Alligator mississippiensis: one gene and its partner. The protein of the gene in region 1 interacts with the protein of each later gene in a pairwise test. Links are inferred from orthologs where the notes say so. Each region holds a gene or a part of one and is shown in the gene's direction. Other genes may lie near its edges.

Region 1 (15,226 bases):
CGGTAGCAAATTTTGCCCCAGCACAGAAAATTATCAGTGCAGGGCACGGTTTAACATGCAACATGTGTGGTTTATAGCATAATGTCACGGTGGAGTCCTCTCGGAGGGCCGTGATCTCCTCGAGGTCCCTTGCTCCGTATCAAGGCCAGCCCAAGGCACCCTCTTATTCTCGCCCGCCACGTCTTTGCTGTTCAGTAGGTTCGGGAGGCTGCCTATGACTCCCTGGGCACGGCTACTCGGGACCTCTGTCCTTGTGTGTTCCTGGACTCTTGTGGTTTTCTGGTATGACGGGTGCTCCCCAGGCACCCTAGCCTTATGGGCTGCGCGTGGCTCCTACCACCCCTAATACCATGCCCCAAGCCTCGCAGATGGGAAAGATGTTGGTGTGTCTGCACGCCCGCTTCCCGGGCCCTTCTTCTATAATACGCTAGTCCCCTCTGGGACGTCCCCTTGAGCCGCCGGTCTTTTAGGCCCACCGCACCACTACCCTCTCTAGTACGGGCTTACCGCGCTGCTACTCCCCGTCCTCTCGGGGGCCACCGCAGCACCTTGCCCTTCTCTGGGATGCTGTACTGCTAACCCTTTCTGTCTGGGTCCACCGCAGCACCCTTCCCCTGTCCTGGGTTCTCCACGGTGCTAGCCTGTTACCAGGCTCGCTCCTCCTGTCCTGGGCTCCTCAATATCGCCCCGCTCTAGGGCTCCTCAATATCGCCCCCCCCCCGGGGCTGGGGTCTATGTACCCCACAAGTGACACCCTTGCTGGCGTCTGCTGCGCCTGTCCTGGGCTCCCTAATATGGCGCTCCCCCCTCCTCGGGGCTCGCCGTGCCCACCTTGGGCTCCTCAATAGACCAATATGGTGCTCCCCCTCTTTGGGGCTTGCTGTGCCCACCTTGGGCTCCCTGATAAAATTGCCCCTGTCTCTGGGGCTGGGGTCTATGTACCCTGCACACAGCCTGGGGTCCGTGTCCCCCGTCCGCAACCCACTGGTTGCGCTCCTCACTGCCACTTGTACCTGCACTGGCGCGTAAGCTGCACCTTCACTGGCGCTGTGAGAATAATGCACCCTCCTGGCGCTAGACTGTGCCCTCACTGGCGCTGGGGCACCCCACCCCTATGGGGTCCCTACGAGAACACTGCGCCCTCCTCAGGCGCTGGGGCCCCCACACTCTCTGGGGTCCCTATGAGGCCTCCTCCAACCCCTACAGCCTCACCCAAGCCTCCGGTTTGTAATACATACACTAACCAAACAAAATACAAGCCTCCTGGCTGTAACTTAACTCAAGGCTGCCTGGCTGCAACAACATAGCTCCTGCACCACAGAGCCACCATCCTTCAGCCTGCTCAAGCAATACCCGCACCTAAGCCTCATGAACTCCTGCCTCTCTGGCTGCTGGCAGGGAACTGCCAGCCTGGCCTCAGCCCTGGGCTTTATAAAGGCCAGGCCCTGCCCCCTTCTGGCCAGCTGAGCCTCATCAGTTGCGCTGGCAACCTGCAGCTGCGCTCATTAGGCTCTGCCAGGTCTCTCTCCCTGGCAGCTTTCCCCTCTCTAGGAGCAGGAGCACCGAGGTGCCCTGCGACACATAGCAAAGAGGTTTGTGGCACCACAAACTGCACGTGCCTGCACATCTTGATCCAGCCCACAGCTCTGACTTTTTCTCACTCAGTAGTTGCCCTTTGCTGTGGAGTTGTCTGTGATTTGCATTCATTTGGGTAAGAAGCAAAGCCTTCCAACCATGTGATGTCTTGTGAGATTTTTGGGAATGTCCTGCAGAATATAGGCTGAGAGGCCAATGACTCCACACTAATACTAGACTCTCTTGTCAATGGATGTCATCATGGTTCCTTCAGGAGATACATTTCTGTAGCCTCTCTGCTCAGACTTGCTCTAACATTCCCTTGATGTTGAAGAATGTAGTATGTATAGGATAATGGTAACTGGGGTAATGCTAATGAGCTAACAATAAAATTCTTCTGTTTCCAGGGAGATGATACCATGGAGAAACTCTCTCCTGGCTCTCACAAACCTGCAGCAGTCAGGTTGCATGGGGTTTACATCAGGATGGGTCTTGAGTGAGTACAGAGGATGTGGGACTGTGCCATGTTAACTCAGACCCCTCCTTCTAAAAGATGTTTGGCTGAACTATGTTCTGCACATCATGTTAAGGCAGTGTGCGCCGCATGCTCTATGCATGCTGCTTAGCATGTTAGTTAGTTAAAGCTGTATAGGACATTATGTACAACAGAATTTAAAAGCAAAGGTTTATTCTTTCTTCTGTTGCTGAAAGAAATCCCATGTACAGATAATAATTCCTTTAGTTATGAAATGTAGGTAACTCTGGTGGGATCATAGGACATGTACAAAATCAAGGCTGGTACTACCCTACAGGCAGAATGGATGGTTGCCTAGGGAAGCATTATATTTCAGGTAGCAGAATGTTCCATAACTGTTTTTGTGTGGGTGACTGTGGGCTGATGGGGGAAGACACATGCTGATTTTTCAAGCCTAGCAAATCCCCATGAACAATATGAAATCAATTATGTAACTAAGGCCAAGTCTACAGTAGAATAATTGTGATTGTTGTCAACCTCAAGCTGGCTGCTAGACGCAAACTGTTGATATCTACAAGAGAAAGTATGATAGAGTTTTGGGGCCTTGGGGTCCATCAGGCCGACTGGGATCTTTGAGCCCTGCTTTTCTTTCCCTGGAACCCTAGTGCACTCTCCCACCTCGCCTGCCATGCTTTGATGTTTAAAATGATAGATTTAGAGACTGCTCTCAGGTGGCTAGGTTATTAGTTTGATCCTCACTTCCTAATGAGGGAATCCTGATTTTTCCCCTCACTCTTTCTCTTTTTCCTGAGCTCCGTAAGCCTTGCAAGACTTGGGGCTCCTCAGTCCTCATCAGGTAAGTCCATTCCGTTCTTATCAGCTGAACGACCTGCTCAGTTGCAGCCTTTTGCCCTTAGTTCTTTGGACCATGACCCTTGCCTCTAGGCTTACCCTCAAACACCATCGCCTCCTTCACCAAGCATTAGTTCACAGCTATGGTCAGTGCTGTGGCAAGGAAGTTTGATGCCTGGAGCAAAGCCTGCAGGAGCAGCCCACCCTCGCCCCATGCACAGATCTCTGCGATGCTTGCCTGGGAGTGCACGCAGCAGCGGGAGCTGCCCTCCCCCATCCCCACGCCGCACCCAAACAAGCCACTTGCAGCTCCGTCCCACACCCCGCTCTGGCTGAGCAGCACCTGTTGGTGACCCTTCACTTTGACGTCTGTAGCGGTTGCCCCACTCACCCCCACCTTGCTATGACACTGGCTACAGTTGTCCATTCTTACAATTCTGCTGGGGGTTTTTGATGGTCCCACACTCTTTGACCTGGGCTCTGAAATGCAGTAACAGAATTGGGTGGGCAGGACATGGGTTGACATGTTCAGTCCTAATCTCAAGGTCTGCCACTGATAAAGATAGACAAGCTATCCATGTCCAACTCCCCTCCAAAGCAAAATGGCTCCAGGAACAAGCTGCTGGTTTAGTACAACTGTCATAGAATACTAATGGCCTTACATTTTTTCTATAATCATTGCTTAACTCTTGTCCACACTGCAACCAAGCCATTTTGAAATCTCATTGAGAAAGAGATTTGCATTCTTTCCTGCCCATGGCAGGGAGTCAGACTTGAATATCTGCTCAGGTCCCTTCCAACCCTACCAACCCTACCAACTATGAAATGTCCTCAGAATGACTTTTGTTCTTTAACAGGATATTTCCTTAATATCAATCCAGTTTATGGCTCATACTTGTGGGGAGATAAAAAATGGGAGGGGGGGGAGCATAAACATAAAATCAAATTTAAGAAAAGCTCTATCTAGTAGCAGAGATGGGCAGAAAATGTTGAATGCCAGGTGCAGTTCCTGTGTTCTAGCAGATTTTGAAACACTTCAAAACTAGCATTTAAAAAGGGCACCTGCCTGATGTTCGCACTAGAATAACTTGCCAGCTGCAGTAATTGCTCTATTAAAACACCAACAAAATCTGCACATCAAAAACAATAAATCTGCAAGATCCCAAATGCCCTTGCAGACAGTATACAAACTTAAAGAAAAGCAAAGCTAAATTATCTCCTGCCTGAGACCTACAAACAGTGACCTCCTGCTTCATCTCATCATATGTATTAATCATGTGTCCCAAGGACTGATAGATAATGACCTCTTCTTCTCACAGATAGTGGCAGAATGTCTGTATTCCTTTCCATGGAGCTGTTGGCCATAACATTGCTATTGTCTATTCTCTTCAGGGAAGGAACAGTCTGATGAGAGATCACTAATCTGTCTTTGCAGGGAACTCATAAAAAGTAGTGATAGGCAACTCCTCCTCTGCAGCTGGAAGATGCACCTGAGGCTCTTCACAAAAGTGAGTCTTCTTCCCACACTTTTAAAATTTACATGAAACCTTTGGGAGACACCCTGATCTCAAATGCCAATAATATGCAGATAATATCCCTCCATCTTGTTTAAGTCTAGTGCAGAAAGCCCCAGATCCCAGATATTTATCTGCCTGTCCAGATAAGGAGCTGGGTTAAATTGAATTTGGGCTAAGAGGCAGGATGATGGTGGTGAAAGGGAGATGTTTTGAAGACCCAGTGGAATCACAAATATATCATTGCTCACTGAGCACAGTGCCAACCATGAGTAGAGAGTAGGTAATTATGTTAGTCTGAAATCATCTGATGACGTACGCTGATGCTTACTAAAGCTTATGCCTCCATGAACCAGTTGGTCTCTAAGGTGCCACCCTGCCCTGCCTTCTGCCATTCTTCACTGAGTTAGATTATCATATGGTTCCACACTGCTCTTGAGCATGCAGATATCCATAGCTAGAAAACAACATACTTTCCCTCTACAATTTGCTGAGAGACTTCCCATTTAATCATGGACAGATCCAGGATTTCCTAAAGGGGGTGGGGGGTGCCATACCACCTTTCTGACTAGAGGGGAATGGCGGCAAGGCATGGCTGGAACTGGTGAGGGACACTGGGGAGCCAGGAAGGGAGCAGGTGTTTAAAGTGGGAGAGGTCTGGCCCCATCATTGCCTCTATCCCTGGCTGACCTAGGGGCAGGGGTGAAGCCCCAGAACCACTTTGGTCTCATGCTGCAGGGAGCAGCTGTGCAGAGACCTGGGCCCAGCTGCGGGCAGCAGTAGAGGCAGGGCTTAAGTTTCTCCTTCCAGTGCCTTCTCCCTGCTGCCCCTCTCTCTCAGGGGTCCACTGCTGGGCAGGAAGAACCTGCATTCTGCTGCTGCCACTTTTCCTTGCTGAGCCTGGCTTCCTGTAGAGCTGCTGCCTGCAGCCCAAGGCAAGAGTGGAGCAGGAATAGCTCTGGGGCTTCCCTGCCCTCCAGATCAGCTGGGGACAGTGGTGGCAGCACATGGGTTCCTCCTTCCAGTGCCTGCTTCCAGGGACCACCTGCAAAGGAGGGGCAAGCAAGGAGCTGGAAGGAGAAACTTGCGTGCTGCCACTGCTGCTCTCCCCTGGCACCTTGCACAGCCACGGTCCCTGGCTGGAGCAGTGTGGAAGTGGCTCTGGGGGTCCCCCTGAACTTGGTTCAGACATGAGCTGCAGCAGAGGTGGCAGATGGGGGGTGCATCCACACTGCCACACCTCTGCTTTTACCTCTGAAGCTTATCAAATATGGCCACAGTGACCCACACCTCCCTGATCTTCAGGCTGAATTGTTCCAGCCCACTATATTTAAGTATGAACATTTCAGCTCTAAAAGAGCTTCAGTTAGTAGCAGCTATTCCTCTCCCAAGGATAATTGCTACTAAGAAGGTATATCACAACCAAGAGCTCTTCTCAACCATGTAGGCTCCCTAAAGAGAACTAGGTCAGGATGAAGGTCTCAGTCTTGGTCTTCAGGGCCATTCATGGAAAAAGTTCAAGATACCTCAGACAGTGTCTCTCCATAACAGCACGTTACACTTTCCTCAGGACTAGGGTACTGTCAATCTTAGGAGGGGGGCTTGTGAGAGCACAAGACAGCTTTCTCTGAAGTTGGGCCCTAGCTTTACATTTTAATAGGGATTAAAATGGCCAAAAATCTCACTGCCTTCAGGGAAGAGTGCAAAGTGGTAGAAGGAAAGGAAGGAAACATCTTTAAACAAGTAGTCCCCTGCTGCCTAGAGGAAAATGGAGAAGAAAATTTGACAATTGATTGCATATCATTATACTGTCCATTATTCTGTGGAAGCTATTAAACTGGTGAGTGCCATTATAGGATTCTAGATAGGTATGTGGGAGGGAATAGGGCAGAGAAGAGGATATTAATGATGTTCTTTAAGCTCCTGGACTGGGCAGGGAAGGGAAAGATTTGCTTGGCGTTTGGCATTATGAGATCTACCCCTCACCAAGTAAATTTCAGGGATGGTCTTAACATATGAGGAAACTCGATGCAACGGGGCAGAAGCTCTATACTACCTGTATACAAAGCTTGAGGACTGCAGCCTACCCAGCTCAACCTTCTAGACTGGGGTGGGCAAAGTCCAGCTCCTGGGCTGGATTGGGCCCACCGCAGACTTCATTTCCCAGCAGCCCCAGCCCACATCACTGCAGCTGGTTCCCATGGAGATGCAATAGTGGTGGCATCAGCATGGGACCAGGATTTCCATGGAGACCAACCCCAACCCTGGCAGGGCGCCCAGCTGGGCAGGGAACTGCTCTGAAGCTGGGGCTGGGATCTTGCAGTGGTGACAGTGTGGTTCAGAGCCAGAGCAGAGCTGTGATCTGCTGCCCACACTCCCTGGATCTGGGAGGGGGAAATGGGATACCTGGGGTGTGCAGGCAGCGGATCGCAGCTCCGGACCACTCTGTCACAGCTGCAGTATCCTGGCCCTGGAGCAGCTCCCTGCCCAGCTGCATGCCCTGCCATTGCTGCTGGGGCCCATCTCCATGGAAACTGCAGCAATGCATGCAGAGGCTGCTGGGAAATGGAGTCCAGCCATCGGCCAGATCTGCTATTTTGCCCACCTGTTTTAGATGTACCTGTCATCTCTAGATGGGTGTGGGGAGACTGGGGTGAGATGAACACTGGAAGCTCCATACTAGGTCAGACTGTATGTCCATCTAATCAGCCATAGAGTCATAGAGAAGTAGGGCTGGAAGGGACCACCAAAGGTCATCTAACCTAACCCCCTGCCTGCTGTGGGGTCATCCCTATCCATACGAACCATAATCTAAACCGTACATAAGATTTCTGTCAAACCAGATGCAACACAGACATAATATCCTAACCTGCCACAAAATAGGGGAACCATGGCAGCCAACGTCCTACTTCTGTGAAAGGCTGTCAAGAGGTCTGGGGGTAGAGGGCCATGCCCCCAGCTACAGAGGAAGGCAAACCCCTCCCGCACCCCCACAGTCCATACTAATTTGAACATGAAGTAAAATTCCTTCCTGACCCTAAGTATGGTGTTTGTCTGACCTGGACTGGAGGAGCAAAACCCTTTAGCTAGGAACCTCTGGCTTTGGTCCCTAGGCTATATCCAACACCCAATGCCTCTGGGAAGGGATAAAAAACACCCCAACACACATAGCAGAGGAGGTGGGGGGAGTATAGGGCAACCAGCAAAGCCCAGGAGCATGGGAAATACCCATGGTAGAACATAAGTACAGACAGAAGTGACAATTTTCACCCAGTCTGGCTACAGAAAGCAGTTTATAGGTGTGACCAAACCCAAGTGCAAAGCTGCAATCAGCTTAAAAAATGTCCGATCAGGTGAAAATCTGACCCCTCATTGCCTGAGGCATCAGATAAAGACTGTTCAAAATGTAGCATCTTGTGTAACTTGTGTCTGCAGAGCTCCCAGCCTGTTGCTGTTTTCAGAACGGGAGGGGGGGGAAGGGAGCAGAGGTAATTCAGTGGTGGGGGCGAGGGGGGGCGGGGTGGTTTTAGCCCCTCCACAAGGTAGGCTGGTGTCTTGGAGCCCCCCCAAGATGTGAGAAGACTCCAGTGCACCCACCCACCCACCCACCCTTCAGAAAGCCCCAAGACAGAGCTCCCTCCGCTGCTTTCCCCCCCTCCTGTTCTGAAAACAGCAGTCCTGGCAGTTGTTATGGGAACCTGGCTGCAGGCCCACAGCTGGATTCCCTCCCCCCAGGGACCAACGGTGAACTTTGTGCCGTCGGGGTACATGATAGCTCAGAGCCCTTTGCAGAAATCCTTCTGCTACAGCGGGGAGCTGCACGTCTGTCTGCACCCGTAGGCCAGGGGCTTGTGCAGCCTGTTCCATTCATGATGGAGAGTCCACAGCTCCCTTGTTCCGCTCGTCCCGTAGCTTGTCCTGGAGACTTCAGGGGACACAGGACATCCCACAGCGGAGGGTGTGACGTTGTCTCGTCCAGGGGCAACCCCAATCCTCTCTGCTAGGGCTTGTTGGCAAGTCCGGGGGCTCCTTCCTCCTGCAGGGGAAAGGAGGAACCAGGGGAGCCCGGAGGCAACAGCCCTACTGTGGCGGGACAAGGGGGAGCCCAGAGCGGTGCGGAGGCGGGCAGCGCCGCCGAGGGCACGAGCCGCGGGCGGGCGGGGAGGAGACACCTGCGGCGGCAGGGGCAGGGGCAGGTGGCGGCGGCACCACCCCCGTCTCCCGGCGGCAGCGGCAGGATGCGGGAGCGGGAAGAGGCGGCCGCTGCCTCCTCGCTACGGCTCTGACGCGGAGCGGGAGGGGGCGGGGGCGGAGGCGGCGGCGGCGGCACTTCTCGCAGCGCATCCGCCCTAGCGGGAGACGGCGGCCGCTGCTCGTGCGGCTCCGGCGCGGGGGAAGGCAGCGCGGCTGCGGGCGCCGCTCCCGGCCAGGCATCGCGCGGGCTCCGCCGGGGAAGGCGTCGGCTCGGCCCGGCCTCGTCGTTCCGCCATGGCCCCCGCCGGCCCGGCCCCGCCGGCCCCCGGCGCACCTGTGCGCGGCCCCCGCCGCCGCCCCGCCCGCGGGGCCTGAGCCGGGGAAGGGATTTACGGCGAGGAGGCAGCGGGCTCCGGGCACTGGGACTAGCTGCATCGCTGCAGGCTCGGGACGGCGTCCGCCCCCGCGGTGAGTGCGGAGCGGGGCGCGGGGGGACCGCGCACGTGTCCTTGAGCGGCGGCGGCGGCGGCGGCGGCTCGCACCTGCTGCGGCGGGCGGGCAGGGCAGGGCAGGGCAGGGCGGGGGCGCACGTGCGCACGCGGGAGGTTGCGGGAGGCGCTGCGGCGCGGGAGTGGGGCCGTGCGGGCCCGGGGCTGCCTGCGCAGAGCCCGCGGGGCGGGGCGGGGCTGGGAGATGCGGGCAGCCCGCGAGCCCGGGGCAGCCCGCGCCTGCTGCTGGCGGGGCGCGTGGGCGGGGAGCTGGTGCCCGGTCCCTTCCCGCAGCCGAGGAGCGGGGGAAGCTGACAGGTGCCTGGGCGGGGAGCGGGGGCGGCCGGGCCGGCCCGGGCCGTGTGCCCCCCGCCCTGTGCGCCAGGGAGATGCCGCTGCCGGGGAGCGCGCGCGGGCCGTGTGGTGGCGTGGTCTCCTCCTGCCCCGTGGCCGTGCCCGCGGTCGCAGCGCCTGGGCGCGCAGCGGGATGCCGAGGTGGTGGACCGAGGGATGTTGCCACCTTGCCAGGAATAAAGGCTTCGTTTCTCTCCCCGCGGCCTGGACTTTGTCATGCCCCTTATAAAGCCATTGTCCTTTTAAACCCGGGGCTGCAGGGGGAAGTGGAGCCTTAGGGCTGTGAGGGAGTAGTTGCTCTTACAGCCTCAGCCGGCGAAGGACGGCGAGCCTGAGCCAGCCTGTTCCTGCTGAAATCCCTGCACAACTGGTTGATTGCAGAGAGGGGGGATTGTTGGTTGGGTCCTGTGTTTAGGCTCGCTGGGCCTGGTCCCCTTCCAGTGAGCGTGCCAAAAATACTCTATCGGCTTCTATGGATGGACTTTATTGTGGGACAAAAGAGAAGAGAAGCAGCCCGCTTTGTTGAAATTAGCACGTTTAGTTACGTTTTCCTTTTTTCTTTCCCTTGGAAGGTGGCCTAATGAAAGGTTAAATTAGCGGGATTACTATGTAAAGTGGCTTGAGGTCTGGCAGATAGGTATTAGCACACATATTATTTTCATCTTGGATGCTTCTAACATAGCCATCACTATCATAAATTCCTATAATTCTCCTTTTGTACTTGTCCTGTCGCAGCCAGCCAAAAAATCTCAATTCATTAATTCCACCCCGCCCCCCCCAACCTGAGCTGTTACAGATAGTCATAATGTATGAGAGATGGTAATTTGATGCATATACATTGCACGTCAAGTGTTTCTATGGTTGTTACATGATCAAGCAAGAGAAATAACTTGCATTGGTAGGTATGTGGGTGTGTTATGCATCTATTTACTCTGATATTCAGGCAAAGATGTCCTTACTATGGCAACCCCTACATCAAGTGTTATACTGCATGTAGTGTTTCAGAAATAGCAGCACCTTCTTAAAGAAATACAAACATTAACCTGTCAAACTAATTACAGCACTACCCATGTTAATGCATTGATGGGAATAATGTGTCTTTGAAAACTGACCCATTTCTGTCCAGAATTTCAATGTTGCTTTTAGTATATACATGCATTTCATTTTATACTTTTTTGTTATATTTTGATGACAAAGAATGGCAAAAACAGCCTCTAGGTAGGTTTTTGTACTTTGCTAGCAAAAATCATTTTTCAAACAATTTATATTTTAGGGTCTGCATGAATTTAAGAGGGCCTTTTGATCCAGGTCTTTGATAGGCACTAAAAAGATTTTTAAAGTTGTTATAATTGCAGGGAACAACCCCCTTTCTGGGTGTATAGGCACTTTTACCCTTTGCCAATTCTTAATTTGTACAACTGATCATTAAAAAAAGTGTAAACAAACATCATTTACTGTTAAGAAAGTAATATCTCAGAAATATGGAGTAGTTGTGTTTGTTTTTTACTGAATAGAGTCTTAAAACTGAATTACACATGCACAGATATTAATATTTCTCTGCATGTTTCCTAAAGTAATTTGTGTTATCAGTTAATGAAAGTACCATGATCACGTCTTAGAAACTGGAGGTATATAAAAGGTGTTTAAAAATAATACTAATACTTGTACTAAAAATGGACAATTGTATTTGTAGATGTTCTAGTTGTAGAGAACTGAACTACTCAAAGCTTGTTACAGTCATGAGCAACATGTATGATTCATGGTATAAATCCATCTTTATAAGCAATCTATTGACTTGTTTGTCAGTCAGGTATATCAACAAATTTAATTATGAAAATTTCTGTTAATTATTAACCTTTTATAAATGGAGCCTAAATAGAAAGTTTGATGATTGTTTCATATATAGTTCTCTTAAAATATTCTGTAATGATAAAACCACAAAATCTCAGATTGGAGGGACTTCCTCATATCTGGGCAAAGAACTGTTTATATACAGTGATCTTAAAATGTATCCAAACAATTGGAAGTACTGCATTACATTTGAAGTTTATAATAAGCATGGAAAATTAAGGTTTAGACCACATGCCTGAGTGGCAGGGAAAGGAATTCTCTTCTATCCCAAATGAGCCACTAGCCATCTGTGGGAATGCTCCAGGGAGACGACTTCAGTCTCTGGGCAGAAGAAGTAGCCTTCTTGATCCCGGTAAATGCTTCGGCGGCTGCAAGTTAGAGAATCTCCTGATTCTCATGGTTCTTTCCTTTAGCCAGCCCATTTCTGCATTTTACAGCAGAATAAGTTCTCAGCATGTAGGTCTCTTTGTCCCTTGGGGATGTACATCCTTTGCATGTTTTTTTTTCCAAATCTGCCAGCAACATTGCAGCGAGGCTTTCTTGGCCCTCTTTGACTGTAGAGGTTGTGGTGATGGGTCCGAGTTTGTCTCTTACTATAGGAAGTAATGCAGAAATAATTTAAAAAAGATATAATTTCTCAGAAGATGTTACTATATCTGAGATTTCCATTGCCATTGTCTTCCATACCTCTTAGAAAAAGGCTTTCTTTTAATTCAGGGTAAACTTTACAAATGGTAACTCTTAATTGTACTTTGATATAATAAGTGCCATTAAATACATGGGAAAATGTGTCATATATTAAAAAACATTTTTGTTTTGAATAAAAAAATGGATCTAATAGACCATTACAGGTAGGGTATATGAGAAATTGGGGTACAATTGTACCAGGTCCCCAAAATTATGAGAATTGCAAGTAACATGAGTGTAAATAAAATAAATATACACTCTCTAGAAATTTATTTTAAAACTTATGGATTCAGCTTAGAATTCAAATAAAATAATCTGTTTTCTGTTTCCAAAATGGGAGGTGGGGAAGCAGGTCCCAGAACCCCAAATTTCTCTCTCAGGCTGTGGTCACATGTAGTTTGAGAGAGCAGTGGTTTAGCTTGAAAGGATTTAAGACGTATTTAGAACGCATGTTGGTAGCCATGAAAATGTAATGGAGACGTTAAGCTGTACAAGGATTGGAATCACAAGGTTGAAAGTACATCAAGTGTCATCTCCTACCCACAGCATAGATTCAAGAGTCCATTCTAGATGCATAAAGCATCCTGTATTGATGCCTGGAATGCCATCCTCTTGTTGAAAATATCCAACGAAAGAGGTTTCACAACTTCCTTGGGCAGGCTTTTCCATTGGAAAAAAGCTGTATCTGAGATTTGAGAAGCTGTACTTGACATTTGATGAAAAACCTGCTTCTGGTGTAATTTATCACATTATAGAGGCTGCAGTTTTACCTTAAAATACAAATTAGTGGTCTACTATAAATACATAATAGAGGCAGTGGGTGTGCCTGTTGGACACACATGCCAATCATCAGTATAAAGATCAGGAAGGATAGAACAGAGAGGAAAGAATAGATAGTTGCGCATGGTATTGTGTGAAACTCCACACAATACTATGCTTGGTCCTAAGAGAATAAGCCACCGTATGGGAGAGGCAGCAATAAAGAACAGTATATTTCTACACAGCGTATGGGAGAGGCAGCAATAAAGAACAGTATATTTCTACACAGATGTAGAATGGAACAGTTAACTGTTGGGGGGCATAAAGAAAGAAATGAAGATCTGTAGGTTTGTGTGTCTGTCTACATTTTCTGTAATTTAATTAGTGCATTATTTAAGGTGGACTAAACCACTATACTGTTAGAGGAAGATGATTGTTGGGAAAGGCTACCTAACCATTTGCTGAAAAAGAAAAAAAAATAGAGATAGGATGATATCTAAAGCATATGTCAGTGAAAAGAAGATTGTTTTTCCTTTTCTTTTTTTAACCCCTGGTTCTTTTTAAGAAGGGATTGGGCAGTGAGTGACAGCCTACAAAAATCTGGCTTGCGTCTCAAAATTAGTTGCTAAAGCAGTGTGGTCGGTAATGTAGCAACAATAATTAAAATGTGTAAACTGATAAATAGGCACACTCCTTACTGCAGTCTTCAGTGTACCAGTTCTTTAGATTAATGAACAGTTGTACAGCACTTTCAAGAGATGAAGTGCTGACTGTTGTTATCCTTCACTGAGGTGCTCAAGTTTTAAATAGAGCTCCATGAAAACTACCATATCTAATTTTGGCATGGAGTACAAATAGGTCATTCTTGCCTGTTATAGCTTCAAATACATAATGTCAGTTTTTGAAAAAAAGTTATTTAAAAAAATAAAATCCAACAAAAAATTGAAAATTTGAACTTCTTGGGCATAACCAGACAAAGTCTATTCTCAGTCGCACTAGTATCAATTGTAGTAGTCACACTGGTGTCACAATGGTTTATACCTATGAAAATAGGCAGCGAATGGATTTCTTTTGACTTCTGCTGATGTGCTTGAAACCTGTTTTTCCACAATGGTACAAGCTAAAGGCAGAGACTCAGGTTTAACTTTGAACTTAAGTCTACTTTGATCTATTTTTCAGCTAACACTGATGTGTTGTAAGCAGTTTTATTTGAATATAGGAGTTGAGTTTTTCTAGTATTTAATTTTATTGACACCTTGTTGAACTCAAATGGAACATCTAGGGAATGTTACGGAAGAAATCGTGTTACCTTAGCTATACATTTATGTTTAACATGTTAAATGGCAGTATATTGTGTATATTGCCATCAATGGTGATATTATATTTTCTCCATTTTTATCACAGTAGAACTTTGAGGCCCCAATGAAGCAGGTGCTTTCTCTTATTCCTTATTTGACAACTAGTAAAAGGGGCACCCAATTTTTAAGACTTAGTTAACATTAGTAGAAGAATCAAAAGGAGTAGGAGAAAAGAAGTAATATCCCTTTTATGCATCGATCCAGAACCTGATCCAAAACCCATTTAGCTTGCTAGAATTCTTTCTGTGGACTTCAGTGAGCTTCTCATTGAGTGACTTGCTTGAGGTCACAGAAATTGTGGCAGAATCCAGGTATTTTAGGTGCAACACTTTGGCCACAGAACAGAATTTCCTAGGTTGAGACCTACTTTTATAGGAAACGTTTCTAGTGGACCGCTAATATTGTCTACATTTCTCTTACTTTTTCTCAAATTAAAAAAAAAATCAAGCTACATACACTGTATTTTGATATCTTGTCCAATTGTTTCTTGTTTCATAGTTGGTTGGGTCGGAAGGGACCTGAGCGGATCATTGAGTCCGACCCTCTGCCATGGCAGGAAAAAGTACTGGGATCAAATGACCCCAGTGAGGAGTGCATCTAACCTCCTCTTAAAGACCCCTGGGGTAGGAGCCAGCACCACTTCGCTTGGAAGTTGGTTCCAGATCCCAGCTGCCCTGACAGTGAAATAGCGCCTCCTGATGTCTAGTCTGAATCTACCCTCTGCCAGCTTGTGACCATTATTTCTAGTCACTCCTGGTAGTGCTCGGGGGAACAGGGAGTCCCCCAGTGCCTGCTGGTCCCCTCTGACTAGTTTGTAAATGGCCACTAGATCCCCCCTCAGCCTTCTCTTGTGGAGGCTGAACAGGTTCAGGTCCCTTAGCCTCTCCTCATAGGACCTGCCCTGCTGCCCCCTGATCATGTGGGTGGCCCTCCTTTGAACCTTCTCAAGGCTGTCCACATCCCTCCTGAAGTGCAGCGCCCAGAACTGGACACAGTACTCCAACTGTGGCCTGACCGGTGCCGCACAGAGGGGGAGGATCACCTTCTTAGACCTGCATGAGATGCATCTGTGGATGCATGACAAGGTGTGGTTGGCCTTCCTGACTGCGTCCCCACACT
Region 2 (15,303 bases), on another chromosome or scaffold:
CACTACTGTCAAATGGAGTGATGGTTCATCTACTTCATATTTTGATCCAAAGCCTATTGAAGCCAGTGGAGTTAGACCCAAAAGACTGCAGTATATGGGAAAGGAGAGGCAAGCCTGTTGTATTTATGACTCTTATGTTGTATTTACACTTGTCTTTTTCCCCTGAAATTTTCTGCTAACAGCACCTCAGGAAAAAGTAATGAGATAGACATGCCATCAATAGTGTCCAGCATTCTAAGCAGGTTTAGATAATACAGTTATTTAATATTAAATGTGTATTGTTATGGAGAGCAAAACACTAGGCATTATTTTATCAAACACGTTTCATACTTACAAAAGGGGGCAAAATGGAGAATGAAACATTGTGAGCCATCATGACCTACTCAGGGTCACTCAGCAACCCTGTGGCAGAAGGATTTTGGTACTGGCTACATATATTCCACAATTGGGGTGGGAACAGCTACAGATAAGGATCCCAAGAGGTTTTCAGGCAACTTTCCATTATGCATGTTGGCTAAGTATAGACAGTCAAAAAGCCCAAGGCTGAATCAATTCAATCTTTGCAAGTTAATCTCAACTGCATAGATTGAAATGATAAACAAATGAACAGACATTCACTTTTGATTTTGGAAATTCAGCCACAGGTTTGTGGTGGTCCAGGCCAGAAGCTGAGGGGTGCTAGAGCTGGAGAGGTGTAAAGCATCCTGGAATTCTGGGGGGCTGTGAGTTAACTTGTATCTAGAGGGGATCTGGCACAGAAGTTCAATAAACCAATTTAACCTAAATCAGTTAGATCTGAGACTGAGTCCATCCAGGTTTATATTAAACCAGTTTCAGTCATTTTGAAAGCGGTTTATGTGCACTGAACTTCTGTTCTGTTACAGACCTGAAACACTTTCCAATCACTTATACCAGTTTGTGTGTAATTTCTGTCCCTAGCCATTTTGTATTTTTCACAGAAATAGCCATAATGAGTTCCAAACTGAATTAAAGGATCATCATAGTTAGGTCCTAATTCACTTTCATTTTTGGAAGAATATTTGGGGATGTACATTACATTTCATAGGTACATACTAAAAAATCACATGGAGAAATATATAGCAATGTCTTTCCCTGCCCCATTGCATATTAGCAACTGCAAAATCAGGTGTCCTCTGATTATAAGCAAAAAAAATGTTGTGTTAATAGTGAACTCTGAATGCACAGTATTAGTCTAGTATAATATTGGTAAGGCTCAGTGTATGCTGTAGCTGACTTTCTCTCTCAGACTTATGTCTATGTTTTCCATCACCTGTTGTAATGGACCATAAGACTGAGGATACCTGATCTCAGACTGTTGCAATGATCGTGTGTGCTTGGGCATCAGAGGAATTGACATGCAATTTTGAAAGTTGGGCCCTAAAACAGCCATGATTTGGAGGCAATAGACTGTGCTAAGTTAATATCTCTTCTCTAGATTTGCTTATTATATTATTGGTAGGGAACTATTTAATTTGCGATTTCACAGATTTCATGGAACCCGTGAAATTGGGCATTGTCCATGAAACCAAAAAAAAAAAGTACTCAAAATAAAATGCTAGCTCCCCAGTGGGAGCCAGCAGTCCTCATGGCCACTACAGCCTGGTCTCACAGCCCACTGGAGGGGAAAAGAAGGAGCCACCAGCCATGTAGGTGTGCCCCTCTCCCCAATCAGTGGTAAGGAGTGGGGCCACTAGGACCCCTTGGTCAATCAGCAGTGAAGGGCCACAAAATCAGCTGCACATACCACAAGGGCCCATGAAAATCCCTTTCGCTCACAGATAGATCCCTACATATTGGGTCCATGAAAGGCAACATTTGTCTTCCTGCTCATACAATCAGCTTACAACTTCTATTCCACTCCTGGCAGGAAATACAAATGTAAATACATATACTCAAAGTGAGTTTAGATATTCAGATTCAGTGCTGATTTATCCCATTGATTCAGTGCTGATTTATCCCAGGTTGAATTTTACCACCTACCTGGCATTCATTCAGGGTGGATAAATATCAATGCTTTTTTTTTTAAAAAAAGGATTTGTTTTTTACTTAAATGATTTTTTTATTTAATTTTTTTATTAAGTTTTTAAAAAAGCATCTTAACAAAAACAAACATAGTTTTAATTTAAGATATGTTAAAGCTCAAATATATCATCATGGAATATGGTTTATAACTTCTAATTATATACTATTTGAGACAATATATTCCTTTTGAGACAATATAAACCTTTTTAGAAGTTTTATAAATAGGTCAACAGGTCATGGACTATATTAGGGGCCCAATCGTATGGGGTTCCCAGAGGCTCCTTTATAGGTTAGTAAAGATTAAAGAAAACCACTCTACCCACCAGGACTCAGTGCTCAGTCTAGAAGATCCCATTAAGCATCTCTGTGATGCTTAGTTCCAGTTCTCAGACTGTGGATTTGTGACTCCAGAGATCATAGGCAGACAAGGTTCTTTGGGTAGATGTGCTATCTTTTATTAGACCAACTAAATAGTTGGAAAAAATGTTCTATGCAAGCTTTCAGGCAAAAAATTAAATCCACCCTGCATTCATCTGAAGCTCATATAATCCAGAGTCCTCAATCTTTACTCCTTAAGAGAACGCTAGTGTGAAAGGTACTGATTTGAAGTTCTTGAGGAATTAAGTTCTTATTCACAGGGCATATATAGCACAGGAAGAAATATAGCAGCAATGCCAGTTTCTTCATGTTACTGCACTAACAATGTACCACAACTCTGACCTGGAGGGAGTATCTCTGGGGTGATCTTCAATGTACTTCCAGGCCTCAGTGACACTAAGGCCAGTAGATGTGATAATTTTGCTGTGACACCTTTCTGTGGCCCTGGCTACTGGTCTGGTGATCTGGATCCTATTTCTGACCCTGCCATTAATTTACTGTGTAACTTTCAGGAAGCCATTGCACTTCCCAGTGTCTGCTTCCCTATGGCAAGGAGCATAATGACACTAACTTTCCTTTCTTAACCATCCTGAGATCTTTATAAATGAAAAATGCTATGCAACAGCAAACTTCTGCTTGAACAGTTAAAACAAGCTTCTACAAACTTGCATTAATAACTTGAGCTGGTTGGAACTTTTTTAACTAAATGTATTTTCATCTAAATATGCTGACTCATCCAAGCCAGTATGGTCTGTGGAGACGTATGAATTCAAATAAAAGTTCTCTACTGGAAGCAGAGGTGTGCCTATACACTTCTGCATAGTGGCTGTGTTGCCAGTGGCAGTGGCAGGTCAGCAGTGTAGCTGCTGCTATTTTTGCTCACAGTGCCCTACTCACTGCCCAAGCCTGTTGCTCCAGTCATGCCTTCTCTTAACTACTGTACCTACTAGAAGGTTTCTAAGTTTATCTTTCTGGATGCTGTAGTCACTACTGACAAGAGAAAGGAAGAGAGAGAGAGAGAGAGAGAACAAAATTAAAAACCTGATCTTTTCCATTGTAAAACAGTGATGTACAGACATTCAGAGAAATTTGGGTGGAGGTTAAATCAGGTTAAAAATGGTCACCTGATCTAAGGTAAGTTGGGATGGGAGGGTTAGCAGAGGGGCTTGAGTCCGTGGGCAAGCAGGGTCTGCAAGGGGGCTAGGAGGAATCAGGGGGTCTAGTGAGGTCCACAGGGAGGATTGGGGGGGTCCAGGAGGGTTTGGTGGGGGGGGCTAGCAACAAGGAGGGTTGGAGGCAGTGGGGGGGGGGGAGGCTTGGCAGGATTGGAGTGGCTCTCCAATCCTGCCAAACTCCCCCAGACCCTCCCCAGATCCACCCCAATGCTGCCAAACTGCCTCCAATCCTACAGACAACTCCTAGGGCCAGTTTTACTAGCATTCATTGGTACTAGGAGCCTGACTGAAGTAAGTGAAGGTGGGGGGAGAGGCAAGCAGATGCGGGGCTGGCAGCTCCACGGGGTAGGGGAGGTTTGGCAGGATTGGGGGAGCTGCTGGCTCTGCAAGGCGGGTTAGGTGCGTGGTGGGCGGTGGTTCTCTGCACCCCCAGGACCAGGGGCTATTTTTCACCCCCCATCCTCCCCACCCCACAATGAACAAACCCCACACTGAACCAATCCTGACTTACATCGATCATCTCTCAGCACTGGCAAATGCCAGTAAAAATGGCACTAGCCGCAGCTTGTGGGACTGGGGTTTTTTATGGACTGTGAGGCAGGGGGAGGCTGGCTGGTCCGCAGTGGGGGACTTTTCCATCTGGGGGTACAGGAAGGGGCCAGGAGGCTAAAAATAGCCCAGTACTGGGCTAGGGGTAGTGCTGGGAACTGTACAGTTAGATCAGTCTCACTGGACCCAATCTGAGTTAAACTACCTCTGAAGTATGGTTAACCTAGATTGGATTGGCCATTTTGAGACTGATCTAACCTTCCTGAATTTCTGTACAGTTCGCACTTAGATCAACCTAACTAGAGATCTAAGGGCAGTGACAGGCATGCAGCTCCCCGCTGTAATTCATGGCACTTCTGAATTACAGCAACCCCCTAATCCAACAGACATTTGCTGTAGGGTCCCAGGGGTGGGAGATTGAGCTCCAGTTGGGAGCAGCGTTTCTGCAGTCTCTCTTCCCTGAAGACAGCATCAGGTGTGGGGCTGAGCAACATCAGCTCAGCCCTGCTCTGGGTGTGCACTGAGAGAAGTTAATGAAGGTGCTCTGCTTTGAAGCACCTTAATCTGGACCCTCATATAGTGGGGGTTCAGATTGTCATGCAATCGGGCACTTTTAAAGCACTCTGCAGCAATGCTCTTCTGTCAGGGCATGGCTGTAGAGCACTTCAGGGAGCTAACTGCATGACAAAAAGTCACTTGTGTCAGCGCCTTCGGTTTCTTTCAGCACCCTAAATGTAAGGTCTGCACCTGGGAAACCTAAGTGAGATTGGGTATCCACTTTAATACAATCTAACCTCCCCAAATGTCCGTGTCCAGCCCAATTCTGACAGTTTTTTAATGAAAATGTTTGGTTTTCAGTCTGATATGGACCAAAAATGAAATCTGGAACAAAAACAAATGTTGAAAGCTCAAACCTGCAAGTTGTCATGAGAGAGAACTGTCATCCTCTTTCCAGCCTGAACTCCAAGTTCAGAAAAATACATCTTTCTTTTTTTTTTTTACGTCTCATCTCCTCCTCCTCTGCATTCTGTATCATCATACTATTCCTCACATCTTTTGAACTGTGCCTTCAAACTAGTGTCATGCATACAGGGAAAAAACTAACATAAAAGTTTCTCAGGGACAGGTAGAATATAGCGTGAGCTTGTTGATCTGTGTGCTAGTGCCTTCCCTTTGTCATCAGCTCTGTTTTGCTGAAAGCAATTCAGTGTTGCATGTGCTTTTGTAGCATTTGGTTTGCTAGGTCAGGTTCTTCTGCATCCAACATATCAACAATTGCTAGAGACACTCTCAGCAAAACTTGGCCATTCAAATGCTAAGTAGCACAGTATCTTTTTTGTCTCCCACTTCTGACTAGTGATCATACCAAAGCCTCCCACTTCATTGGTCTTTTTTCTCTGATGCTGTTCTCTACAAACCACCGACAGCCAGATTGTGACTGGCCCTGGAATGGAACGGGATGCGCAAGGATCTTTGAGTCCCAAAGCCTTGTCCCTTTCATGGGGCCTGACTGTTATCTTGGCATTTGGGGGAATGTGAAAACTATTTCCTCTATAGGCCTCAAAGAGCTCCAAGGCTGTAAACAGACATTGCATTTATTCCAAGAGAAAGCTTTTTGCCTTCAGACCCTAGAGATGTACAAGACTACCGTCCCATTTCAAGTCATTTTGAAGTATGCCAGATAAAATGCACTATCACTTTTTCCCTGGGACATTGTGGCTGTGCATCTGCAGTAAGATTGTTGTGAGCTATACCTAACAAGCTGGTGGGCTGTGTGCTCTCACCTGCCACCTAATGGCAAAGGCGCAGCAGTGCAACTTGGAGGGCCTGTGCTGCCCTTATATCAGGGGTGGTCAAAATGCAGCCTGAGTGCCAGATGCGGCCTGCCAGGCCATTCTATCTGGCCTGCGGGGCCCCTAAAAAATTTAGAAAACTAATATTAATCTACCCTGGGCTGCCTGTCATGTGGCCCTCAATGGCTTGCCAAAACTCAGTAAGTAGCCCTCTGCCCAAGATAATTGCCCACCCCTGCCTTATATTGATCCAGGTCAACATAAAAGAGTGAAATGATTAAAACTGCTGATATTTGGGTCTTCTCAGTTAATAGCCAGCAGCTAGGAATGGGGGCAGTTTATATGTAAACATTTACACTAGTGCTAAATGTTACTATACACAGCAGGTCCCATTGAGTTCAGTGCAAATATTTGTGTGTGCAAAGTAAACAAACAAGGTTCTTTGGGTGAATCTGATATCTTTTATTAGACCAACTTAAATAGTTGGAAAACAATTATTAAGCAAGCTTTCGGGTTCAAAAACCCTTCATCAGGCTAAGGAGGTTTCAGCACTTGGTGTGTGCTCTTCCTGGATGGAATGAAAAGTAAAGAAGGCAGAGGCTGGGCTGGTATGCATACAAGACAGGTAGTCAGTGAAAATGTAGATTGAGGAGTCAGTGGGTGAGAGACAGGCTGGAGTGTGGGGGAAGAGAAAGAAGGGAGATGAATAGTGGAGAGATACCTGGGGAGTCAGATGGCAGGCAAGTTATAATGTGTCATAAATCCAATGTCTATATGTAGTCCATGATTTTTAGTATCTGGGAGGTTGATGAAGTGGAATTCATAGGCTTGTCTCTGGGAAGTGTTTTGTAAGTTTCCTTTGAGGATCAGGACTGAGAGATTGGAGAGAGAGTGGTTGTCTTGTGAGAGAAATGTGCCCCCACCGGTAATTGGGTATTCTTGTCTTTGATAGATTTCTGGTGTGCGTTCATTCTGGTGTGCAGTTGTTGTTTGGTCTCTCCTACGTATTTTCCATCAGGGCATTTGGTGCATTGGATGAGATATATAACATTTCTGGAGGTGCAGCAGTAAGATGCAGGGATACTGATGGCTCTGTTGTGGGGTGTAGTAATTGTGGGGGTGGTGGAGATGTGTTGGCAGGTTTTGCATTTCTTGTCATGGCATGGCCTGGATCCTTTTGGTGTGTTCTGGGCTTGAGGAAGTTTGCTTCTGGTGATGAGGTTGGCAAGGTTCGGTGCTTGTTTGAAGGCTAGGATGGGTGGCTCTGGGAAGATCTTTTTAAGAATAGGGTCTCTTTCTAGTATAGGTTGCAATTGTTTGAGCATTTTCCGTATGGGTTCGAGGGAAGGGTGATATGTCATAACCAGCGGTGTGTGATTTGTGGGGGGGTTTCTTCTGTACTGCAGCAGTTCTTCATGTGGTATCTGGGTGGCTCTTTCAAACGTGCGATCTACCTCTCTGGAGGAGTGTCCTTGTTGGGTGAAAGCCTTTTTGAGATTGGTGAGGTGGCAATCCTGGGTGTTCTCTTCAGTGCAAATTCGGTGGTATCTGAGGGCTTGGCTGTATATCACAGCTTTTTTGGTGTGTTTCGGGTGATTGCTGGTTCTGTGCAGATATGTATGTTGGTCTGTGGGTTTCTTGTATAACGTGGTCTGTATTTTATCATTCTGGATACTGGTCATTGTGTCTAAAAAGGAGATATTGGTGCTGAAGTATTCTAGAGAAAGTCGGATGGAGGGATGGTGATTGTTGAATTTCTGATGGAACTCAATCAGAGATTATAGGCTTTCAGTCCAAATGATGCAGATGTCATTGATAAATCTTAAGTATAGCAAGGGTTTGATGGTGCAGTCCTTGAAGAATTCTTCTTCCAGGTGGCTCATAAAAAGGTTGGCATACTGTGGGGCCATTTTGGTGCCCTTAGCTGTTCCCATCATCTGGAGGAAGTGTTGATTATTAAAAGTTAAATGGTTGTGCATGAGGATGAAGTGTATAAGGTCAGTAATATCTTTGGGTCTGTATTCTGAGTTGTAATCTTGTCCCTGTAGATATGTAAGGCAGGCTTGGATGCCATCCTGGTGTGGGATGTTGGTATATAGGCTGGTAATGTCCATAGTGCCTAGGAGTGTGTTGCTGGGAAGGTGGTCTATGTTTTTAAGTTTCCGTGGAAAGTCTGTGGTGTCTTGGACAAAACTTGCTCTTTGGGTGATGAGCGGTTTTAGGATTGATTCAACAAAACCTGATATTTCCTCAGTTAGGGTCCCATGGTTGGATATAATATGTCTGCCAGGGTTCCCTTGTTTGTGGATTTTAGGGAGCATGTAAAAAGTCTGCAGGTTAGGTAGTATGGGGATCAAGGTCTGTAGTTTTTCTTGTAGTCTTGATGGAAATGATTTGATGGTATTGTTGAGTTTTTTGGTGAAAAGGGGAGTAGGATCTTCTTGTAGTTCTTTGTAGTAGGTGGTGTCAGAGAGCTGTCTGTTGGCTTCCTTTATGTAATCCTCATGGTTTAGGATGACTATGGCTCCTCCTTTATCTGCTGGTTTTATTACTATTTGGTGGTTAGATCTTAGAGATTCTATGGCCTTTTTCTCTGGTACAGAGAGGTTGTGGTGGCATCTGTTGCTGATTTTTTCATTGTTCATTCTTTCCCTGAAGCAGCCAATTTAGCGGTCAAGGTTAGGGTTTCGTCCACTGTGAGGTGTCCAATCTGATGGTTTTTGGAGTTTTTTGGCATTGATCCTTTCCTGAATGTTGTCAGAGGATGAGTTGTTGTTGGGAGTGGGTTCAGTTTGGTCATGGAAATATTCCTTGAGGCGGAGGCATCGGAAGAATTCTTCTAGTTCTCCACATTAAAGTATTTTATTAGGGTATTTTTCTGGACAGAAATTTAGACCTTTAGAAAGGACAGATTTTTCAGTTTTGGTAAGCGTGTGTGTGGAGAGATTGATAATATTTGTGGGTTGGTTGCTGGAACGGGGCAGAGCAGCTAGAATATACTGGGTCAATACAAATATGAACTCACAGCTGCCACATGTAAAAAACGTGTTGACTTTCAGGGATACATGTTGTAGGTGTACTGATCTAAGAATTATAGGCAAACAAAACTCCTGGGTTGGAGACAATATTTTTTATTAGACCAACTAAATAGTAGCAAAAAAAATTCTTTCTTTGCAAGCTTTCAGGACCCAACACCCTCCTTCCAAACGCCATTTGGAAGTAAACAAAGTACTTACATACATATAAGATTGAGGCTTTTGATCTGTAATTGTAGTCCTTCTGTCTGCAGGCATAAGATATAAATACCTCAAGTAATCATAAGCTATTAGTAAATATTTATTTAGCTATCTTTATTTGCTGTCTTTGTTTGATAATGCTCATCTTGCCTGAGTAGAGATTATGGAACAGATGGAACAGCAGGCCACATAGCCAATATTTATGATTTCTTTTTCTTTGAGGGGAGGGTTGCAGTGGTGCAGCCACACACCCCTTTTTGACTGGATGTCATCACAGGAGCATCCAGGGACTTTTTAAAAGCAGGTAAGAATCCCTCCCCCCTTGTGCTCAGAGACAGGTCCCCTCTCCTTCCCTTCCTTTCCCCTCCTCCCCAGCCTACCAGCTTCTGCTTCCCCTACTGCCCCCAGGGCTAAGGGAGGCTCTAGAGATGCCCCTGCCTGCTCTAGCTGGGAGAGAAGGAGACATGCCTCTGAGCCCAGAGTGGGAGAGGGGAATTTTTACCTGCTTTGAGGGTGCATCTGACATGCCAACTCACATGCACACCCTCCCTGGAGGAGTTCTGGTATTCAGAGCAGTAATCTTAGCCTCCGGGTATGTCTTTTAGGTCTGGATGCCTGTATGCACATGCCCATGGATGTCTGGTGGTGACTGTGGAGCACTGGGAGGCATGAGGTATGAAAAGAAGGAATATGTGTTGGGGAGGGGTGTGTGTGTGTTTGTATGTGTGTGTTGGGGAGGGGTATGGGAGGAGAGAGTGTGTGTGTTGGGGAGGCATACGGAAGGGGGTGCATGTGTTGCGCTATGGAAGGGGAGTGTGCGTGCGTGTTGAGGTATGGAAGAGGTGCGTGTGGAAGTCGGGGTGTAGAGGGGGGGCGGGTGCACGTGTGTCCGGGGAGTGCCTGAGCACAGCGCCGGGGAGGAGAGGGGAGACGAGCCGGGCTCAGACAGCAGCAGGAGAGATACAGAAGCAGCCCCCTGACAGGCTGGTGCTGGGGGCAGGAGCTGCCAGCATTCTCCTATTGGTGCGAGGCGGAGCCGGCACGGGGAGCAGGGGAAATCGGCGCCGGAAGGTTTCGCTTGCAGGCGCTAGTCGTGGCCGCGCCGCCCCCGAGCTCCAGCGGGCACTCCCCGCCCGCCTGGCCTAGAGCCGCGCCGCGCCGCGCCGCGCCCGGGAGCAGGTGAGGGGCGAGTCGCAGAAAGCGGCAGGCAGCGGTGCCTGGCAGGGAACCAGGACTTGGTGGGCCAACAAAAAAAAAAAAGCGCTTCTCGCCTTGTGATAGGGAGAGCAAAATAGCAGGCAGCTTTTAATGGAGGTAAGGGACCAGGTCCTTTGGTGTAGCCAGGTCTAGAGGGGAGGGGACTTGCAGAGGTTTCTCACAGGTAGGCCATTTTTCTAGATCATCAGCAGGATGGTTTGACCAGCTGTGACACGGAGGAGTCAGGAGGCTGTGTGAAAGACAGAGGCTTATCCCCCCTCCCCCGGCGCACATGCACGCACACTCTCTTCCTGTGGCAGTTTAGATAAGGGTTGCCCGTTGTCAGAGCTGCCTCCGGAGGCTGCGTAGCACATTTTATTGCAGTGCTGCAGTGACGCTGGTATCACGTATCAGGATGTTTCACGAAGTAACGATGTGGTTATTGCACACACAACAGTTTATTTCATAATTGTCCTCACTTCCTGAAATACTCTAGTACTAAACAGGACTCCAGGGGCTGGATTGTAACTAGGGTGACCATCATACTCTCTTCTCTGTTGATATGAAACCCGACGCCTTTGTGGTCCATGGGACCTTTTCAAGAGAAAAATACAGGACATAAAGGCATCGGGTTTCATGTCAATAGAGGACAGAGGACAACCAGACTGTCGTCTATGATGTCCACCCTAATTGTAACCTCCTTACCTCTGGGGAAGTATCTCATTCCACCTACTTCCCATGGATCTCAGTGAAGCTACTTGCAGGGAAAAGCAGTCTTTTTCATACTGAATAACATCTTAATTTAGCCTGTGAATTTAGGCAAATGCAGAAGAAGATCAGCTGGTGAAAACTTTAATGCATCTAGGTGAGCAGCTACTCCTAGAATTTAATGCATCTAGGTGAGCAGTACTCCTAGAATTTCATAGATTGCATAGACATTAGGGTTGGAAGGGACCTCAGAAGATCAAGTCCAGCCCCCTGCCCCAGGGGCAGGAAGTCAGCTGGGGTCATAGGATCCCAGCAAGATAAGCATCCAATTTACTCTTGAAGATGTTCAATGTAGGTGCTTGAACCACCTCCGATGGCGGACTGTTCCAGACCTGGGGGGCTCAGACAGTAAAGAAATTCTTCCTTATGTCCAGCCTGAAACAGTCTTGCAGTAGTTTATAACCATTCGACCACGTCATCCCTTGTGGCGCTTTGGTGAACAAACGTTTCCCCAGATACTGGTGGTCACCCCGATAAACTTATAGGTGGCCATCAGATCACCCCTGAGCCTGCGCTTTTCCAGGCTAAAGAGCCCCATGGCTCTCAGCCTGTCGTCATAAGGTCTGTTTTCCTGACCTCTGATCATGCGCATGGCTCTTCTGGGGACTCTCTCAAGCTTCTCCACATCCTTAGAAGTAGCCACTCAGCCAGTAAATTATGCACAGACCCAAAGAATCAGTGTTTTGGTTGCAAACAGCCTGCAGCCAAAGGCTGAGCATTTTGGGGGAGACTGAGGCTGAAACACATATTTCAGTACTGGTGTAATAGACAAAATGAGTGCTCAATGAGAATGCATTTCCACCATGTGTCAAGGCTGTTTGTTTCTTGTGAAGGATTTTTGCAATCAGTTTGAAAAACTATCAGAAAACTGGGCAACACCCATCAGTTTAATGTATGTTTTGCTTCAGGTAGACTGACGCAAAACAAGTTGTAAAATGCTGTTTTAACCAACCAGCTAAAGTCTGTTTAAAGATGGACTGGAACAGGGCAGAGCAGCTAGAGTATACTGGGTCAATACAAATATGAACTCACAGCTGGCACATGTAAAAAACACTTGTTGACTTTCAGGGATACATGTTATAGCTGTACTGATCTAAGAATTATAGACAAACAGAACTCCTGGGTTGGAGACAATATTTTTTATTAGACCAACTAAATAGTAGCAAAAAAAAATTCTTTCTTTGCAAGCTTTCAGTTCCCAACACTCTCCTTCCAAACACCATTTGGAAATGTAAACTTCATTGTTAGCCAAGAAAGAGGATTTTTTTTTCACCTCCTTGACTGATACCAGACACCTCCAGGGATAAAGCCTGCCTAATAATCAACAATCAGAAAGCAACTCTCTCACAAAAGGAGTTACCCAGGGGAAAAAACTTACATTCTCTATATCCCCTGTGCAAAATTAAATTTATTTTCTATCTGAGAGACCTTTTACAGTCTTTGAATTCTCCACAGCCTGAAGAAGGGTGTTTGGACCCAAATGCTTGCAAAGAAAGAAATGTTTTTGCTACCATTTAGTTGGCCTAACAAAAGATATCATCTCTAATCCAAGAGTTTTGTTAGTCTATACTTGTTGACTTTACCATTAGTGAGTCATGCATCCATCTGCAATTCATATTGCTAAAACAGGTCCCAGCTGGCAGGTAGGAGGGTCTGATTTGCAAAAAGCTGGGCTGCACTAATCCTCAGGCTGTGCTGTGTATTGTGATGCTTCTCAGTGGGAAAAAGATGTTTTTCCCTGAAAGTAGCTGCAGCAAGGTCAGTCCAAGTGAGTGAAGTGAGGTACTCGACCAGGAGTAAGAGGATACCACTGCACATCTTCATTCTCCTTGTAGATTTGGTGCAGTCTGTGGATTGGCATACTCACTGGATTTGTTTGTAACCCCCTTTTTGTTTCAGGCTTCAAATATTCAGCAAGGTGTACTAAGAGGAAAAGTGATATCTTCACTGGTGATTGCACTTCTCATGCGAGCAAATATTTAATTTGAAATTCTGGGCAATCCTGGATTTTCAAAAAAGACAAAATGACTCAGTGCTTTCAGAAAATGGCAGGTAAGAAGAGTTTGTTTTCTTTTGATTAGCTAGAACTATGCACACTGGATACTCAGAAATGTCTCAGTTAAGTGAGTATTCTGTTAGGGTCCTGAAGTAACATTAAATACTTAAATCACTTAGTCCCACCGGGCTTGAGTGCCCTTGAAAATTTTACCTCAAAGCTACAATGCTGAGTGCCCTCTGCTCCCTGGCAAGTGAAGCTGTCAAATCTTAAAGGATCAGGCCCTGAATACCAGATCACTCTAATCACTGAGTTCCCTTAACCATTCTCTGAGTAAGGCTTAGCAATCAGCCTCTTAAGCAGCAAATGGGTGACACTTTCACTGAAATTCTTGAATAATTTAGTGAGTAAAAAACTTTAATGGATTTATAATTGTATTAAGTCTATAATAGTATTTGGTCATAACATTTGGTGATTATAATGTCCTGTTGGCAGAGCTGATCCATAGTTTCACATAGGATGCTGCTGTATTCCACTCTAGTCAATAGATTGAGAAACATTGCTTCTTTATGTCTGACTGACTAAAGTGGCATTTGGGAAAGGGATAGAAGTCAATAGCTGTGGCTGTACATGAAAGCTCTAACTTTATCCTCATTATGATGGGGATCTGGTGTATTTATTCATCCTCTGGTTCTGCCACAGGTACTCAGTTCACCAGGCCAGTGTAAATAAGCAAGAAGATTTTAATTATTAACTCCATGCACTACAGCATTACACTCGGGGAACACGTAGCAGTTTTTGATGTCTTCTTGCCCCTCAGCACAGCAATTTCTAATTAATAGAGACCTACGAAAATTATGATTGTGTAATTTTTTTTGTGGAAACTGCAATTTTGGGTGGACTCTGCTTTTGGCAGGCTCACTGCAAAACAAACAAACAGAAAAAAACTACATGACTTACAGCAAGCAGAGAAGTCCTGCAGTCTTGGAGCATGGGGGAGAAGGCAGAGGGAGGAGTGGGGTGGGGTAGGGCAGGGCAGGGCAGGGCAGGGCAGGGCAAGGCTGCTCACAGCAGGAGGTACAGCCCCCTGCCTCCATCTTTGTCTGGTGCTCCAAGATTGCAGGGCTTCTCTGCTTGCCAGTAAGTTCTTTATTTCCCCTACCCCAGCAAGCCTGCCAAAAGTGGAGCCTGCTGCTTGAGTATGACCTGAAACTGTGGCTTTATTAGCCTAATTAAGACCATGGAAGCTATGCTTAATAACACCTGGATTAATGATTTCCCTGGGCTTAATTAGGGTAATTAAGATGCAGTTTTGGACCATGTGGCAATCTGCAGAGAAGGGCAGAACTACCAAGGCCCCTCCGCCAATCAGAAGCGTGGGGGTCCCCACCACACAGCTCATGAAAATGGTGACTGGTCCCATGATCTACCTACAAAATTGGCTGGCCGCTTCCTCGAGTTCCACAGACCCCTCCTGCACTGCAGCCACTGCCTATTTGTATTATCCCTGACCATAACATAATGGGTATTAAATGCAATTATTATAATTAACCAATTACTCACTTTGAGCTACTTGTCAGGGCCCTTTTACTGTCCATTATTTAAAATCTGTATCTCACTAACACATCTCTCTCTTTTTCAGCTCCAGGGAGAAAAGTACTCATAGTGTATGCTCATCAAGAGCCCAAGTCTCTGAATGGGTCCTTAAAAAATATTGCTGTGGAAGAACTGAGCAAACAGAGCTGCAGTGTCACAGTGTCTGATCTCTACTCAATGGAGTTTGAGCCAAGAGCCACAAGGAATGACATTGTCGGTGAGACTGACTGAAGTACATCTTAAAAAAAACATTTAACTCTCTCATTTATCTCACGTTACTTGCCAGAGCTAGATTGATGCAAACATCATATGCTATCTGTAAAACAGCTGAGGAGGCTTTTGGTAGAAAGCAATAGCTATTTGTAAAACCCTACTTCTTTCTTCCTGTGGACATTTTGTAAATGATGCTAATCTAGGAATCAAACACACGCTATTGAGTTTTATGAGATTTTTCTTTATTAACTACAGCAAGTAGCAAGTTTGGGCCCGTTAGCTTAAATAGATTGGAGGCTCTATATAATGTAAGTTTTAACTTAATTTAGTCCCTTTGGGCATGAATGTTTCTTATAGCT

The links.
Region 2: the proteins of LRRC7 (region 1) and NQO2 interact in a two-hybrid assay, tested with the Homo sapiens proteins (2 studies listed by BioGRID). The two-hybrid records come from large-scale screens. The link is inferred for Alligator mississippiensis from reciprocal best matches to the Homo sapiens genes LRRC7 and NQO2.

What each region holds. Positions count from the first base shown.
Region 1 is NC_081828.1:19,137,932-19,153,157, forward strand, and holds the start of LRRC7 (leucine-rich repeat-containing protein 7), read left to right. Parts: upstream 1-8,783; 5' UTR 8,784-9,078; intron 9,079-15,226.
Region 2 is NC_081826.1:121,012,941-121,028,243, forward strand, and holds the start of NQO2 (ribosyldihydronicotinamide dehydrogenase [quinone]), read left to right. Parts: upstream 1-9,253; 5' UTR 9,254-9,478; intron 9,479-9,615; exon of another isoform or gene 9,616-9,766; intron 9,767-9,779; 5' UTR 9,780-9,847; intron 9,848-10,083; exon of another isoform or gene 10,084-10,353; intron 10,354-10,382; exon of another isoform or gene 10,383-10,488; intron 10,489-12,858; exon of another isoform or gene 12,859-12,907; intron 12,908-13,038; 5' UTR 13,039-13,163; coding exon 13,164-13,191; intron 13,192-14,777; coding exon 14,778-14,948; intron 14,949-15,303. UniProt on the Homo sapiens protein: The enzyme apparently serves as a quinone reductase in connection with conjugation reactions of hydroquinones involved in detoxification pathways as well as in biosynthetic processes such as the vitamin K-dependent gamma-carboxylation of glutamate residues in prothrombin synthesis.